Linked DNA regions of Elephas maximus indicus. The protein of the gene in region 1 interacts with the protein of each later gene in a biochemical or structural test. Links are inferred from orthologs where the notes say so. Each region holds a gene or a part of one and is shown on either strand. Other genes may lie near its edges.

What was found.
Region 2: the proteins of DLG1 (region 1) and EVI5 interact in a test that uses a peptide from one of them, tested with the Homo sapiens proteins (2 studies listed by IntAct, with this or other methods). The link is inferred for Elephas maximus indicus from reciprocal best matches to the Homo sapiens genes DLG1 and EVI5.

What each region holds. Positions count from the first base shown.
Region 1 is NC_064819.1:18,852,240-18,855,985, forward strand, and holds the start of DLG1 (disks large homolog 1), read right to left. Parts: upstream 2,571-3,746; 5' UTR 2,397-2,570; intron 1,737-2,396; exon of another isoform or gene 1,647-1,736; intron 1,184-1,646; 5' UTR 1,153-1,183; coding exon 1,134-1,152; intron 464-1,133; coding exon 332-463; intron 1-331. UniProt on the Homo sapiens protein: Essential multidomain scaffolding protein required for normal development. Recruits channels, receptors and signaling molecules to discrete plasma membrane domains in polarized cells.
Region 2 is NC_064821.1:149,459,421-149,463,166, reverse strand, and holds the start of EVI5 (ecotropic viral integration site 5 protein homolog), read right to left. Parts: upstream 2,468-3,746; 5' UTR 2,024-2,467; coding exon 1,982-2,023; intron 1-1,981. UniProt on the Homo sapiens protein: Functions as a regulator of cell cycle progression by stabilizing the FBXO5 protein and promoting cyclin-A accumulation during interphase. May play a role in cytokinesis.

The DNA.
Region 1 (3,746 bases):
CCAAGTCAACAATAATTCAGTTAACGACCTTCTGAGTTCTGAAACATTTCTGCAATGTCTTCCATCTTTTAATACTTTTAATACTTAATGCTAAGATATGAAACACTGTTATCAAAGACCACTGGTATAATCATGCTGAAATTATTCTGGTTATTAGGTATTTTCGGAAAACATACCGGTGTATCAAAAACATACAACTCACTGAAGACATTCAAGGTGATGAATGCCTCATAGAAAGCCAAGTACCTCATTCTCTTTGATTTAAAATAACAGAATTCAAAGGAAGATTACGCCTAATAGACACATAACGGTCACAAAGTTTTATTCTCACCTATTAAAGCCTGAAAGAGGTTGCTCTGAAATATGTTGATAACCCGCTCTATGGAACTTCTGAGCTGCCTGTCCTCAGTTTGGCTTAGTTTCGAACGATACTCTTCCAAAAGGTGCAACGCTCTCTGGGTATCTAAAAGGAGAAAAAGGCCTGATTGAAATTATATATTCACGACAAAGTATTACCCACTAGCTATGCAGACAAATGATTGTGCAAGACATCTCAGCAATTCCCAAAATCCTCCAGGTCAACTGATGTCACCAGGTACATGTAAACGTACAGTCTCCAGGAAGATCAAAAAAAATTTTTTTAAACACGTTACTTGACAGTAGAAAAAGGAGGCAGGTGAGTAATTTCTAATAAATGTGTGCTGGTAGCCAGCCACAGTAAAAGATTAAGGTATTACCAACATAATTTCAGATTACCTGACATGCAAAAGCTGCAATTTGTCGTTATAACTCAAATCCTAAGTATTTGCAAAATACTAGTACTTAATATCCCACATTTGCTCACAAAATAGTAAGAAGTATAAAGTGACACACTAAAATACCAATTCAGAGTTGAAAGATTTCAGGAGAAAATATTAACTGACTCTCTAGTAACTGGTGAGCTGTCAAGGAAAAAGTTTTAACATTTAGGTTTCTTCTGAAATAAAGTGAAGCTTAAATTCCCCAAATCGTAAAGCTAGGACCGTGCTGTTTCATCAAAGTTACACAAGCATTCTGAAAGGTAACAATCACAAAACAGATACATGGAAAACTAAGTGACACCCACACGAGACACTTCTGAGACAAATTCTCACCTTGCTTCCGGACCGGCATTTTCCTCCAGAATCAGGAAGAGGGCACACACCTTTAAAGCCACAAACACAAAGGAAAAAGAATACAGTCGTCGTTAAACTAGCATTTCTCCCCACACTCCATATCGGAAAAACTCCCAGGCCCACTGGAACAGCCCACCTTGCAAAGTTTTCCCAAGTCAAAGGGAGGGACTCAAAACCCAGCGCTGTCAATCAATCTAGAAGGCTTTCACCTCGGGGTGGGTACCCTTCCAGATGAAGAGCACACAGAAATGCATTCTTGCAAATTCTCCTCGAAAGCTTCCTCCTCCTCCAAGAACACTAAACGCCTAGACCTGGGGCCACCTCCCCAACCCTGGCCCCAGTATCCGGCCTCGCCACCTGCTACGGGGGGAGGGGTCAAGAGGCGCTCCGACCCTTGGCCCCGGAGCCAGCCCAGCGGCGGCCGCCAAGCGCTCCCGAAGGGACCCACCGGGCTGAGCACCCGCCCTGTTCCAGCCCCCTCCTCTCGCTTGCCTTTCTCCTTGCTCGCTCTCTCCGGGCTACTCCGGCGGGGCCCGGACAGGACAGCGGCCGCTCTCCGCGACGCCCTCGCGCCCCACATGCACGCCTCCGCGGTCCCCCACACCTGCGGCTCCGCCACAAAGTTCCTGCGAGAGGCGTGGGCTCCGAGCGGGGTGCGCTCCGAAGCGACTCGGGGCGGCTGCCCCGCCCTGCCCTGCTCCACGTCCCCCCGCCCCGCCCGGGGCTCGAGGAGCTGAGCTGAGAGGGGTGAGGGGACGGGGGAGGAGCTCCCCTCCGCGGCCGCACCCCCGCTGCCTCTCCCTCCTCCTCGAACGCCGCCGCAGCCTCCGCGCTCGCCGCAGCCCGCTAGCCCGCTCGCCCTCTCCGTTCCCGGCCGCCCCACCCCCGGAACCTCGCCTCCTTCCGCGCCCCCAACCGCTCTCCCCCCAAACTTTCCGCCAAGATGGCGGCCTCGGAGCTGGACTGCCGCGCCCCCACGTGACCGCGTTCCCGGCGCTCTCAGCCAATGGGAAGTGAGGAGGCGGCTCGCGCCGAGCCCGGGGCTCCCGGCGCTGCTACCTTCGGGTTAAACGGGGAGCAGGGCCGGGAGGGGGCTGCGGCGCGGGCAGGGGGACTCGGAGAGCGTCCCAAGTGATCCTTCTCCCTTAAAGGGGCGGCCACTGAAGTGGCGCCGAGGACAAAGGAGTTGACACGCAGACTCTACAGGTGGTCCCGGGTAGCCATGGAAGAGCCCGCCTTTACCTAGCCCACCGGTGTCCCGCGGTTCTGAGCTAAAAGCGCGCCGAGCCCGCAAGGGTCCAGGTGTCTGAAGAGACGTGACCTCCCTCACACTGGATCCAGCACACACATTCGTATACACCCTTAACCTCACTAAACACGTGCTGTTTCCAACTCCGAGGCAGCCGAGAGTGCCTGGCGCCCCCGGGGGTGGGTCCCCAGCCGGGTGAAGCGGCATTGGGGAGGAGCAGACCGCACCACCCACGTGTGGGGCGGGGACAGCGGGGATTGGGAGGAGAAAAGGAGAAGAGCTAGGGCGGGGGTGCCACCTCAACACTTTGTACTGGTTTTTGCAAAGTTACTCTTCGCTCCTCATAAAGAGTTTGGAAGTTTTGAATTAAAGAAGGGCACGTAAAATAGGAAGATTGGGTAATTTGGTAAGACTTTGAGAGATGTAGTAGAGAATTTTTTAAATGACTAATTCCCAGTATAAGTGCATTTAAGGGTGAGGAGGCTCGTTGGTTCATTCACTCACTCATTCATTCCCCTGCGCCTGCGTCTTCGCCCAGCCATCAGTCTCAGGTATTACCCAAACTCTGGTGGCCCCTTTAAGAGTTCACCTGTAATCCTGCAAGGCTGAGCCGCCCTCAGCCAGTAGGGCTGGTCTAAGTTTCGACTGAATCTCGAAGAGGGAAAATGGGCCAGGATCCTGCTCTGGGGCAGAGCCACCCGGATTGTTGAACGGGAACCGTGGAAAGCCCAGGTCTTCTAGTCTGTGGATAACAAGAACCTCCCTTCTCTAAGGTCCAGAGAAAAGGATTTGCCCAAGGTCACCCGGAATTAGTGGCAGAACTGGAAACCCGGAGCTCCTGTCTTACAAAACCGGAAGGTTCTTCCTAGCAAACCTGACAGCCTTTCATTAAGACTGCATCACGGGTACTTCGTATTGAAACCGCAACAGCTACCCAGAGCTGGGTTGACCACTGGCTGGGTTTCACTTCTGGGTTGCACTTCGGAATCCTAACTTGTAACCTAACGACCTCAGAGCTCATCTAGACCCGCTCTCTCGATTTAAGTTAAAGAAACTGAGGTCCAGAGAGATGAGGTAAATTGCCCAGGAACATACAGGCTAATCAGTAACAGAGCAGACCCAGAAATAGGGTATCCTAGCTCCAGTCCAGGGCTCATTCCAGTGCGATTTTAGACAACATGACAGAGGTGTGTTGGTATATTGGGAGCAAATCGCTATGCTATTCTGGGTCAAGCATCTTGGGAGCTTGAGCAACAGTTAAAGCAACAATGCATGGAGGAAACAGGATGGAAGGATGGAAGTTTTTTAATAGTGAAAATAACTAATGGTGTGAGTGTTACGAT
Region 2 (3,746 bases), on another chromosome or scaffold:
ATTTCTTAGGAAACAAAATGTAGTAACCATAAAGGAAAAGATTAATAAAGAACATTTCATTAAAAGTAAGAACTTCCATTCATTAAAACAGTGAAACGGCAAGATACAGAGTGGAAAAAGATAAATGCTGTGTGTGTGTGTGTAAATACACACACAGATATACACCCACACCCTAAACAATCTGCTTCTGAAAAGTCAGCATGAATGCCACAGTGCTGTTCTGCTCTGTACCACACAGAATCACCATGAGTTGGAATCAACACAAAGGCTACTGGTTTATATATATCCAGAAAGAACACATATCCCTAATAAAAAATTACAAATCAATAAAAAAAAGAATACCAAGGAAAACTGGGCAAAGACTAAACAGACACTTCACATGAAGTCATATAAATGGCCAGTAAAAGATACCCAACCTCAATCATCAGGAAAAAAACACAAAATAAAATCACAGTGATATATTACTGTACCTCATAGTGATGTATTACTGCACCTCTACCAGAATAGTAAAAAATTTTACACTGACAAGCACCAGCAATGATGTAGGGCAACTGGGTTATTATTCCCTGCTACTTGGTACAACCACTTAGGGAAAATGTTCAATAGCATGAATACTGAAGTTTGATCATTCACATACCTTGTTGTTAGGTGCGATGGAATTGGCTTTCGACTCACAGCAACCCTTTGTGACAGCACAGAAGAGCCCCACAGAGTTTTCTAGTTTGTAGTCTTTATGAGGGAGCCCTGGTGGCACAGTGGCTAAGATCTCAGGCTGCTATCCAAAAGGCTGGCAGTTCGAATCTACCAGTCCATCCTTGGAAACTCTCTGAGGCAGCTCTACTCTGTCCTATAGGGTCGCTATGAGTCGGAATCGACTGGACGACAAAGAGTTTGTTCATTCGTTTGTTTTTTCGAATCCTTATGGGAGCAGATCACCAGGTCTTTCTCACTGGAAATGCTGGTTGGAACTGAACCACCAACCTTTCCCATTTGCGCCACCAGCATGTCTAACACCAGCGATTCCACTCCTCCACACAATATCTGAAAGAGTCCTGGTGGTGCAGTGGTTAGGCGCTTGGCTGCTAACGGAATGGTCAGACCCACTAGCCATTCTGAGGGAGAAAGGTGTGGCAGTCCACTTTTGTAAAGATTACAGTCTTGGAAACTCTATGGGGCAGTTCTACTCTGTCCTATAGGGTCACTATGAGTCAAACTTGACTGGAAGGCAACAGGAATACAGTATATACTCTTGGAGTCCTTCGGTGGTGCAAACAATTATCGCTCTGGGCTGCTAACCAAAAGGTTGGAGACTGAGTCCATCCACAGCTGCCTCGAAATATAAGTCCTGGCAATCTACTTCCAAAAAATCAGCCATTGAAAATCCTATGCACAAAGTCCTACTCTGATACATATGGGGTTGCCAGGAGTCAGAACAGACAGAATGGCAACTGGGTTTGATTTGTGCAGTGGTTCATTTCATAAAAATTCATTATCTGCACACTTAAAATTGTGCACTTTTTCTGTGCACCTCAATAAACTTTCTAAGATTCCTCTGACACAAAGTTCTCAGAGATCTAGGAAAAAGCTTCTGGTAAACTGATAAAATTTTACAAATATAATTAAAGAACAAAAATGCCACTAATACATACCAGCCCACAATCAAAGTAAAAACTACCAAGAGATAATTTTTCTTGAACTTCATGAAGCACTGGAATTCCTTCTTACAGCAAAGAAAGGAGTTTATTATTCCACATTGTAAGCGAAAGAAGAGATATCTTTGCAAGAAAATGCGGCTGCTTTTCGAAAACATCCCCAATAGCGACAGACAGGAGAAAAGTGAGGGAACCATTCCAAAAGTTTTGGTTAACTCTTTGGTGAAAGGATACTACCTGAGATGGTAGGAGACGTCCAAAAGACAGAAAAAAACACAAAAATGTTACAGCAACTCTAGAGCCAACACCAACACCACAATCCAACCTACCGGAAATCCTGTGGTTAATTTGAGGCTTGCCCCGCTAGTCATAAGGTGATTCAGTGATGGCTACAAACCCTCCCCAAGTGCATCCTTGGAGTCACCTGGCACACCTGGAATGCCCATCACCTGTCTGTAGACACCGCCATACGCAAAATCCAAGGAGGCTATATAGAGTCTCCAACTTTGCAGGTAAGGGGCGCAGATGGTATCATCCCCTCAAGGCCACCCAGAGAGAACCCACTTCTGGCCTCGAGGGCTGGGGTGCAGGGCCCCGAAGCTGCCCCGTCCCTCCGCCTCTGGGACTCTACAGAAAAACCCGCCGGTGGTGAGTTTCTTCCCCGGCGCCCGCGGAAGGAGGATCCCGACAAGCGGCAGGCAAGGAGGCGAGCGCAGGGAACTTAGGCCCCGGCGGGGTCTGGCACGCCTGCCCGCTCACTCGGCAAGTTTGGCGGCAGCCCCTTCCCACTGCGCCTGGGCCCCGCCGTGCGCCCCCGCGGGGCCCGGGCTTGCGGCCCGCCCGGCCTGGCGCAGCGCCGCTCACCTTGGAGACGTTGGGTGAACTCCGCTGTAAACATTAACTTCCCATCCAGCCGGCAGCCGCGCCACCGTCGCGCGTCCCAGCGCCTCGGCCCGGCTCCTGGATCCGTGGGCCGCCGTCTCACGCGTGCTGCACTAACTCACGAACTCGGGGCCTCCGCCGACCCCCACCACCCCTCAGAATGCCGCCGCTGGCTCAACCACTGTCCGGCCCTTCGCCCGTCCGCCTGCCGGGTTCTCCAGGGTCCGGCCTGGCCGCGTCAGGAAAACCCAAGGCGCAGGCGCGGCAGGGCCTTAAAGAGACCCGGCCGCCTCTACCGCATAATAGATTCGTGCAGGTTAGGGGCCGGGCTGGCCGGCCAAGAAAAGGAGAAGCCGAAGGGATTGGACGGAGCGAAGCGGGGGCGGGGAAATCCTTCCCTCTCCGTTTTTCTTGCAAAGCACCAGCCCTCAGTCCTGCAAATTGCGACTTCCCAAGTCATTTGAACCGCCCCTTCCATGTTAAAGCTGCGGAAGGCGCACCCCCTCAGAGCGCAATCCCACCCGGCGCTTAGGGCTGCGGAGCGCGCACTGCCGCACCGCCCACGCTCCTGTTTCCTGGGCTGCGGGCGAGGGGCGCAGATGCTCAGGCTTCAAAAGGCCGTCCTGGGCTCAATAACAATAATCAACGTGTAAGTGGCACTTGTGATTGCAAAGCGTTCCACCCTCACTAGTCTCTTCACACAGGGTCTATGCAGAGTCCGGCAGGGGGTAGAGCCTGGGCATAAATAAATGACGTCCACTGGGCCGCCATCCAACATCCACGAAGAAATTCTTAGAAGGAAAGTACTTAACTTTGGAACGGAAACAATCTGCTAATTCTCGTCCTATCCCATTGCATATGCAAGAGTCATTACCGATATCTCCCTGGTTATCTGTAATAAGCATTTCAGTAGAGGAAAAAAAACTCCATTTTTTTTCAACGAGGTTAGGAAACACCAAAACATAGGAAGTAAAGTAATGGCCTCCACCCAGCTCAGAACTTTAAAAATTCGCAATTTTATGAGGCAAATTTTTCCATATAAACTAAGAGACGTCCTTGATGTCAACAAATCCTGCTGACTCTACCTCCCAATTTTTCCCTTGAGCCCGCCCTCTTCTCTCCATCTATCTGCTCCACCACCACTCCAGTTAAGCTACTAGTCCGGAGCTGCAGATCTAGTCTTCTAATTGGTTTCTCCACGTCCCCTCTAAC